Canis lupus familiaris: one gene and its partner. The protein of the gene in region 1 binds, or shares a complex with, the protein of each later gene. Links are inferred from orthologs where the notes say so. Each region holds a gene or a part of one and is shown in the gene's direction. Other genes may lie near its edges.

Region 1 (4,269 bases):
TGTCAGTTATTATTGCAATAAGTATTAAAAGTCCTTTTTGTCCAAATGCTGTTAATATTATTATTGTTCAATGAATATTTGGGCATAGGTTGGGAAAAATCAATTGGGTGCCAGAGTTTCTTGTGAAGACAGTTCAAAGAAGTGAAGCCTTAACCTCTCTGAGCCTCAGCGTCTTTATCTGTATTATGGCAACAACTTTACCTCTGCCTGTTTCAGAGGGTAGCTCAAGTGCTTGAACAATGGTAAGTGCTTTAAAAAAAAAAAGTATTTGTTGAATGAATGAATGCCTGGACCATGTGGGGTACCAGTGGCAAGTAGCAGGGGTCTCCCTTGAGCAATGTAACTAAACTTACTGGCTATGAGACCTGATGCAATGGAGACCCTCATAAGGCAGTGGGTGAGTGCTGAGTCAAATACACAGACTGGGTGGTGTGCTGGTCAGCTTCACATTTGCATAATGGGCATTTTTTTTTCTTTTTTTTTTTTGGTAACAGGCATTCTTACACTGGTTGGTGAGAGTATAAATGTATAAATGTATTAGTATAAATCAGCCTTTTTGAAAAATCATTTAGTGCTAGTTATCATAATTTTAAAAGAGTACACAAATTCACAAATTGAGCCGGTAATTCCATTGATAGGAAATCATCCCCCAGATATCTTGGCCCAAACGCGCCAAGGTTCATATAGTGTGTTCATTGCAACTCTTTGCAATAATGGAAAACTGGAAATAACCTAAATGTCCTACAGTATGGGACCAGGTTAATAAATTATGATACATCTATGTTATAGACTACGTGGCTATTGAAAAGAATGAGGTAAATATGTACATCATTAATATGGAGAGGTCTTAAGATGTATAGTTAAATAAATAGAAAACTCAAGTTGACAAAGCTATGTATTTAATGTAATGATATGGGGGGGGGAGCAATTATTTGTATATCTGCACAGGAAATATCTGAAAGGCAACATGCCAGAGTTAAGGTGGTTTATCCCTGCAGAAAAGTAAAATAAATTAAAATTTTATCTTGAGAAAAGAAAGAACTATTCAAAGTCCAGAGGCCCTTATTTGTGACTCTACTCGTGTGCAAAACCTGATGTGCGCTTTATTTTTTTATTATTATTTTTTATTTATTTTTTTCGCTTTTTTTTTTTAAGATTTTATTTATTCATGAGAGACAGAGAGAGAAGCAGGCTCCGTGCAGGGAGCCTGACGTGGGACTCGAGGCCGGGTCTCCAGGATCACACCCCGGAACGAAGGCAGGGGGGCCAAACCGCTGAGCCACCTTAGGGAAGCTCGATGTGTGCTTTTTAACCGCTTAAAGGCTCGGAGAGGCCAAGGGAAGCTCCGCGCGTGCGCAGTGAGAGCGTCTTTGGCTGCGCTCCGCCCACGTACTACAACTTCCAGCAGGCTCCGCGCTCGCCTCAGGCGCGTCGCTGGCTGATGCTGTCATGCGTAGCGCGGGGAATTTCGAGTAGCGGCGGAGCGCGGGAGGCCAGTGGGTGCCGAGCCCCCCAGCTTCCTCAGGGCAGACCATGGACTCCCTAGTCGAGTCTCGGTGGCCTCCAGGCCTGGCGGTCATGAAGGTGAGTGCTCGGGGGGAGGTTGGGTGCACCGGGGTGTGCGCCGGAGGCCAGCCCCGCCTTGAGAGGGCAAGAGGAGGAGACGGGCGCCGCGAGCTGGGCCGGTTGCCGCTCAGCGACCCGGTGGTTTGGGCCTCGGTTTCCTGTTGCTGCGAAGTGGCGGGGTCCGGCCTCGGTCCCTTGTGGGGGGCACCGGCGCCGAGCCGTTCAGCCACGAGAGTAGCAATGACCTCGAGGGGAACGCCCCCCCCCCCCCCCGCAGTGACAGCGGCGGTGGCTGACGGGGGCGCACCTGCTCTGCCTGCTGCCTCGTCTCCCATCCCCTAGCGCTGGCTTGCCCTGGCGCCTCCCGGACGTGCCCCAACGCCTGACACTCGTGCGCCTCCCTCTGAAACGAGACCAGGGCTCAGGCTCTGCACCAGCCTTTCATCTCATTCCATCCTTTCCCTTCAGTGACATTGGTTTGTTTTTGGCCAAGGCATCCCAGGCCGGGTTACAGTGGCCGTGAGCCCTGGGTTCCTGCTGCGCTGCGGCAGCAGCAAACACACACGCTGGGCCGTGCGAGCTTAAGCATCGGTCGCTTGCTTTTTTTCCCCCCTCGTGCTCCGTAATTGTGTATTTCTGTTTGCGTGCAAGGTCACTTTCTGGTTCTGTTCCTCATTTTTGTAGATTTGGGGATTACGGTACCTGTCCCACTGACGCTGAAGACTGACTTTGAGGAGTAAGTGAAGGGATTTGGGGAAGGTTAGTAGAAGAATAAGGCGTTTCTTCTTGCCATCACCAGGGTCATCCACAGTGCTTGAGGACTTGAGATGGCCCCGTGGTGAAAAGCTGACGTTGTGGAAGCATCTAGGAAACATGTCGTTTTGGAGTTGTGACCTTGGGGTCAAGGTACCGTGGAGGAGGGACGCCTCGGTGGCTCAGCGGTTCAGCGCCTGCCTTTGACCCAGGGCCTGATCCTGGAGTCCCAGGATCGAGTTTCACATCGGGCTCCCTGCATGGAGCCTGCTTCTCCCTCTGCCTGTGTCTCTGCCTCTCTCTCTCTCATGAGTAAATAGTCTTTTTTTTTTTTTTTTTTAAGATTTTATTTATTTATTCATGATTGTCACACACAGAGAGAGAGAGAGGCAGAGACACAGGCAGAGGGAGAAGCAGGCTCCATGCAGGGAGCCCGACGTGGGACTCGATCCCAGGTCTCCAAGATCGTGCCCTGGGCCAAAGGCAGGCACCAAACCCCTGCACCACCCAGGGATCCCATAGATAGTGTCTTTAAAAAAAAAAAAAAAAAAAAAAAAAAAAAGTACGGTGGAGGAGCACATAGATTTGAGATCCAGTGGTCTTGGTTTAAATCTAGCCGCTGACTCTTATTTAACTGTGTGATCTTGAGTGGGTTACTTAACCTCTCTGAGCCAGAATTTCCTCAACTATAAAGTGGAGACAAAGAGAAATAGTTTATGGGATTGGTTAAATGAGTTGATGTGTGTAGATAGGGATCTTGTCTGGCTTATTATTCACTATGCTTACCAGTGCCTGACACATAGAACATGCTCAGAGATTATCTAATTGGTTGAAGGTTCTAAGTATCTGGAAGGTAGTAAGCATTCAGTTAATATGTCTTTATTATTATCTTTTTTTTTTTTTTTTTTTTTTATTTATTTATTTTTTTTTATTATCATTTTTTAAAAAAGATTTTATTTATTCATGAGAGAGAGAGGGGCAGAGACACAGCAGAGCGAGAAGCAGGCTCCATGCAGGGAGCCAGATGTGGGACTTGATCCCGGGTCTCCAGGATCACGCCCTGGGCTGAAGCAGGGCTAAACCCCTGGGCCACCTGGGCTGCCCCTCTATTATTATCATTAGTACTTAACATGCAGTAAGTATTTCTTTCCCCCATTTTTATTTGTTATTTGGAAGATTGAATTGGATAAAGGAAGTCAAAGCTCTGCGGCTTGTAAAGCTTCTTGGTTTGTAGATTTAAGCTTATTTTACCACGACTTCCACAGTGTTCTTTAGAGGCAGATTCCATGTACTTAGAGGCAGGATTTGATGTCTCACCACAGCATTGAATATAGGGTTCAGCACCCAAGAGTGTGCAGAGATGGAGTTGATTGAGCCCATATTAGAATCATGGTGGAAAGCCAGCCCCTGCTAGTGTTTTCTATTTTTCTAATAGCTCTGTATTTTATTTTTACCGTTTGTACTTATTAATACTCTTTGTTTTGCCCACCTCTCACCTTCCTAGCAACCACAAGTTCTCTGTATTTAAGAGTCTGGCTTTTTTGTTTGTTTTGTTTTTTAGATTCCACATAAAAGTGAAATGGTATGGTATTTGCCTTTCTGTCAGACTTACTCACTTGGCATACATAATACCCTCTAGGTCCATCCGTGTTGTCACAAATGGCAAGATCTTATTCTTTTTTATGGCTGAGTAATATTACATTGTATATATATATGTACCACATCTTCTCTATGCAACCACTGACATTGGTTGCTTCCCTATCTTGGCTATTGTAAATAATGCTGCAATAAACATATTGCATATGTCTTTTCAAATTGGTGTTTTCATTTTCTTTGGGTAAATACTTTGTAGTGGAATTACTGGATCATGTAATATTTCTGTTTTTAACTTTTTGAACCTCCATAGTGTTTTCCATAGTGGTTGCAGCAATTTACACGTTCCTACCAACA
Region 2 (4,111 bases), on another chromosome or scaffold:
CGGACCAGTGTTGCGCTGCGCCCCTTCCCCCGCAGTCGACCTCGTCCGGTCAAGCCGCCGACTTCTCAGCCCATTCTGTAGCCCCGCCGGCCTGGCTCCGCGCAGACCCGGCTGAACAACCGGACACCGAGGCTTCCGAGCTGGCGAGCGCGGCTAGCTTCCGGCAGCCCGCTACCATGGCAACGGCGCCGCAGACCCCCCGCGCTCGGGACCTACTGCGCAAGACAGGAACATCCGCCCGGCCCGGCCCGGCCCGACCCGGAAGAGAAAATCATAAAGGGTTGAAAATGAGTTGCCGGTGGGCTTAGGCTCAGGGAAAGCTTTCTGGGGGTCGGGGTGGGGATTATATGGGTTGAGACCAACTCACAAGGTTGGTTTTGAGTTTTGAGCAGAGGTGAGGGGAGGATCCACATTTTACTGCCCCGAGAGTCTGTCTCCTAGAGAAGGGTGGAGGCTTGCTCCCAGGCCAAAGAACAACATGCCGCAGGTGCTGGGTCCTAAAAGGATGGCTTGAGTCGTGAAATAGAGACACATTGTAAAACAAGTCTTCCAAGGAAGTCTTGTGTAATTACGGTCGTCTAAGTTACCTATTTATATTAATATTCCATAGACCTGAGTTCGACCACAGGGGTCGGCATTCATCCTTAAGACGGGGTTAAGACGGTTCTTAATGTTTCTTGAACACTTGCTATATGCTTAGAAATTTTTCGAACTCGTAGTACTCCTTTTTAGAAACGCCCTCCTTGAGAAAACAAATCGACATAAAAGGACACAGCAAAAGGGGGATAAACATTATCTAATTGCTTAAAAACTAGACATGGGGTTCTGCTGGCCTGACAGCCTCCATACACTGTGAGATTCCAGAACAATTACACATTGCTACCTAATGATCCAATAGGGATATTTTTTGAAGATTTTCTTTGGCATTTTACTGCATACATACTGACCCGTATGTCTTCATCCTTAGCTATGGTGAGAATTAGGATCGCTACTGTGGGAGGCAAAAGATGAGAATATTCAGCTTTTAACTTTCAGAATTTCATTTGTGGATGCATCGCAGAACCTATCAAGAGTTAGGTTTGGCTTACTTGATCACCAATGAAGTTATAAAAGCAAAAGATAGAATTCAGGGTTTTGAGAAAAGGAGACAGCAAGAAAGTGAGGGAAATTAACGCTTTCAGTTTCCAGGAAACTATGGGCAACTTGGTGCAACGCTCCCACTATGCCTTGGGCTGAAGAATTACCCAGAAGGATATAAGGTGTTCAGAGTCCTCCAGACCAGCAAAGCCCTGAGGCCAGGAATCAAAGGCAATGGAAGGAGGGAACTCAACACCTCTGAGCAACCTGGTGGACATCTCAGACCCATCTGCACCTTACTTGCTGGTGTAGGAAACCTGAAATGAGTTATCCAGGTTAGCTATATAACTCCCACCCACGTCTGCAAAATCTCTTCCCCACATCCAAGTTTTTAGGCTTTCTTGACAACCAGCCACCCTTCTAAATGCTTTGCGATCTCATCTCCATGTACCCTATCTTAGCCAGTCATGGACTTTGACACATTTTGACACCAATCCTCAAATGAGAGGAGGCTTATGTTAAAATAAAATTCTGTAATTCCATAGAGATAGTCAACAAACCTTAAGACAATCTCTATACCATTTTTTTTTTGTCTTCGGAATTTCCAACCCTGCAAACCCCATTGTGATGCACATACAGGCTCTTTGGTGGCCTCATGGAAGCATTTCGGGGAATTTTAGTTGGTGTGGGCCTCAACATTTCAATGCTGGGCTAATTATGAAAAACAGAGGTTCCCTCACTCTGCCCCAGGTACCAGATTTGATAAGCCACTGAATCAACCAGAAAAGATTTTAAGTCCGTATTACTTTTAGCTGTTTTTAAAACTTAAGCAAAACAAGCTTTTGCTTCCGCCACGACCGCAGACCCTTTTCATGAAACTGGAGGGAAAACTTACTAAAGACCCATACCCGCCCTCAACCCCATAAACTTAACTACCCGCTCCATAGACCTGAGACTCAGATTCAGACGACACTTTCACGTGATCCGTTCCAACCTCGTCATAGGGACACGTGGTTCTAGATACTTCGTCCCCTCCCCCTCAGGGGTGGATTGTTGACAACGCCGCCGGCGGTCACGTGACCTTACGTCATCCCACCTCCTTTCCCTGAAATCTCTGGCCCCGGATGCGGCTCTCTGTCCCCACCCGGTCGAGCTTAAACTACTAAAAGGGGGAGGCATAGGATGGTGTTTCGGTTTCGGGGTCTCTTAATCCACAACCTCCAATCAGAGAACAGAGAGGACTAATTTATCTATTATATTAGGAAGCCAAAATTGGTAGAGCCCTGCCGCAGAGCTCCCAAAACGGGTCTAGACGCCCCGTGCCCTTCTCCCCCAACCCCCTCACCCCGTGGTACTGGCGGAGGGCGGAGGGATCTGGAGGCGGCGGAGGGAGACGTCATTGCAGGGTTGTTTGTGCAGCCTCGGCGGCGGCGGTGACCCACAGTGATTCGGCCGCCGCGCCGGGGGGTGGGGGGGCTGCGCGGGACTCTTTTCTTTCAGACTGACCGCGGGGCAGCTGGGGAGCATGTCGACTCCGGCCCGGAGGAGGCTCATGCGGGATTTCAAGCGGTAAGGGCGCTCACCTCCGCCTGGATGACGGCTCCTCCCCACAGCTATGGGGCTGCAGGGCGGGGATCCGGGACACCTTCCTCTCCTAACCCTAAGAGGGCCTCCTCTGGGCCCAGGGGTCCCGAAGGAAGCCCAGCCCCAGTCCCGGTTCGCACTCCTTCATCCTTGCTCACTCTGCCGACGTAAGAAATTTCGGTACCCCTCCCCCAAAAGTAAAAAGATGGCTATGGTTTGTCCTAGGGTTCCCCGCTGCCCACTTGGGTCAGCCCCCCGACGTCTAGTCCTAGAGCTCAAGCTTCATTTCCCCTTCCTCTGTCCCCCCAAAGCAGACCCTTGCAGAATCATATTCCCTGCTTGCTGCACCAGTTTTGCTGGATGGCTCTGCGGTCTTAGCTGAGGGGCAGGGTTGGGATGAAAAGCGCCCCCCCCCCCCCATTCTCTCTGCAGCGAGGGTGGGGTCTGCAGCGCGAGGTCCGGGGGTTATTAACCCATCCTCGGAAACCCGACTCTCCCTCGCCGCCCGAAAGGACCTTGAGAACTGGCTTAGAGAGCTGGGACTCGGGCTGGGAGCCCGGGCTGGGCTGCCAGGGCCTTCTGGAACTCAGCTCTGTGGCCTGGTGTCTAAAGCCCTATCTATAGCCTCCAAAGTCTGGAAAAATGCCTTCCTTGAGACTGGCGCTAACCTGATACTCGCTCGGCCTCCTTTTGTAAAATAGGGTTTTGTTAGGAGGTGTTGGGGTTAGTAAGGAGGAAGTGACCTTTTTTTCAGTTTACCTTTGGATACTTGGAAGTACGGAGGCCGATAAAAATAAGAAAACTTACCATTACGATCCACTGCACGTTTTGTGGGGGTTTTGTTGTTTTCTTGGGGAGACCTGCTCATAGAAACTTGGGTTAGCTGTCCAGGAAGCAACCTTTTAACTTCGCCATTATAAAGCCATAGGTGAGGCATTTGGAAGCCATTGTTTTAGGCTTTGGGCAGTTTATCATTGAATATATTCCTAATGTACTTTCAGTGGGCTAGAAGCAGCATAAATCCATTAAGGCTTCTGGTTATCGAGGCTTGATGTGTTTGAGGTTGACTGGAGAGAACTATTTTTATGTAGACTAATTTCAAAGTATCTATGTGACAATCACTACATATTGATATATGTATATAAAATGCTATATTTGTTTTAAAAGTTTGTCTTCTGAAGCTTAAAATCAAATTTCACGTTAGCTCCGAAGAGTGAAATCCAAATAATAAAACTTGCAGTTCGTGTCCATTGTTACTCTGGTTTATTACTGCCTTTCTCTGTTAATTCTGAATTGAACACATGGCACCTTTGGTAGTTTTCCAAGGGGCTTCAGGTTACAAAAATTTGATTATGACAAGTGTTGGAAGGTAGCTTTGTATCGAGTCTCTTGATAAAAGAGGTAGATTTAGCTGTAGCGCAGATCTTTAAAATAGCGACTGATGAAAAAA

What was found. The genes of interacting proteins can lie anywhere in the genome.
Region 2: the proteins of RAD18 (region 1) and UBE2B are in contact, whole or in part, in a crystal structure (PDB 2YBF), measured with the Homo sapiens proteins. The link is inferred for Canis lupus familiaris from reciprocal best matches to the Homo sapiens genes RAD18 and UBE2B. Residues at the interface, in NP_064550.3 of Homo sapiens: Tyr342, Arg343, Lys344, Lys345, His346, Lys347, Glu349, Phe350, Leu353, Val354, Gln356, Ala357, Arg358, Lys359, Gly360, Tyr361; in NP_003328.1 of Homo sapiens: Pro20, Val22, Gly23, Val24, Ser25, Gly26, Ala27, Ser29, Glu30, Gln35, Asn37, Ala38, Val39, Phe41, Gly42, Pro43, Glu44, Glu49, Asp50, Lys54, Leu55, Val56, Leu73, Ser74, Asp151, Ser152.

The regions. Positions count from the first base shown.
Region 1 is NC_049241.1:9,230,925-9,235,193, forward strand, and holds the start of RAD18 (E3 ubiquitin-protein ligase RAD18), read left to right. Parts: upstream 1-1,425; 5' UTR 1,426-1,533; coding exon 1,534-1,584; intron 1,585-2,250; exon of another isoform or gene 2,251-2,325; intron 2,326-4,269. UniProt on the Homo sapiens protein: E3 ubiquitin-protein ligase involved in postreplication repair of UV-damaged DNA. Postreplication repair functions in gap-filling of a daughter strand on replication of damaged DNA.
Region 2 is NC_049232.1:22,531,206-22,535,316, forward strand, and holds the start of UBE2B (ubiquitin-conjugating enzyme E2 B), read left to right. Parts: upstream 1-1,268; 5' UTR 1,269-1,412; intron 1,413-2,026; exon of another isoform or gene 2,027-2,148; intron 2,149-2,577; 5' UTR 2,578-2,602; coding exon 2,603-2,646; intron 2,647-4,111. Other genes in the region: uncharacterized protein LOC119876780, read left to right, coding at 1-298, 1,182-1,236. UniProt on the Homo sapiens protein: E2 ubiquitin-conjugating enzyme that accepts ubiquitin from the ubiquitin-activating enzyme E1 and transfers it to a E3 ubiquitin-protein ligase. In vitro catalyzes 'Lys-11'-, as well as 'Lys-48'- and 'Lys-63'-linked polyubiquitination.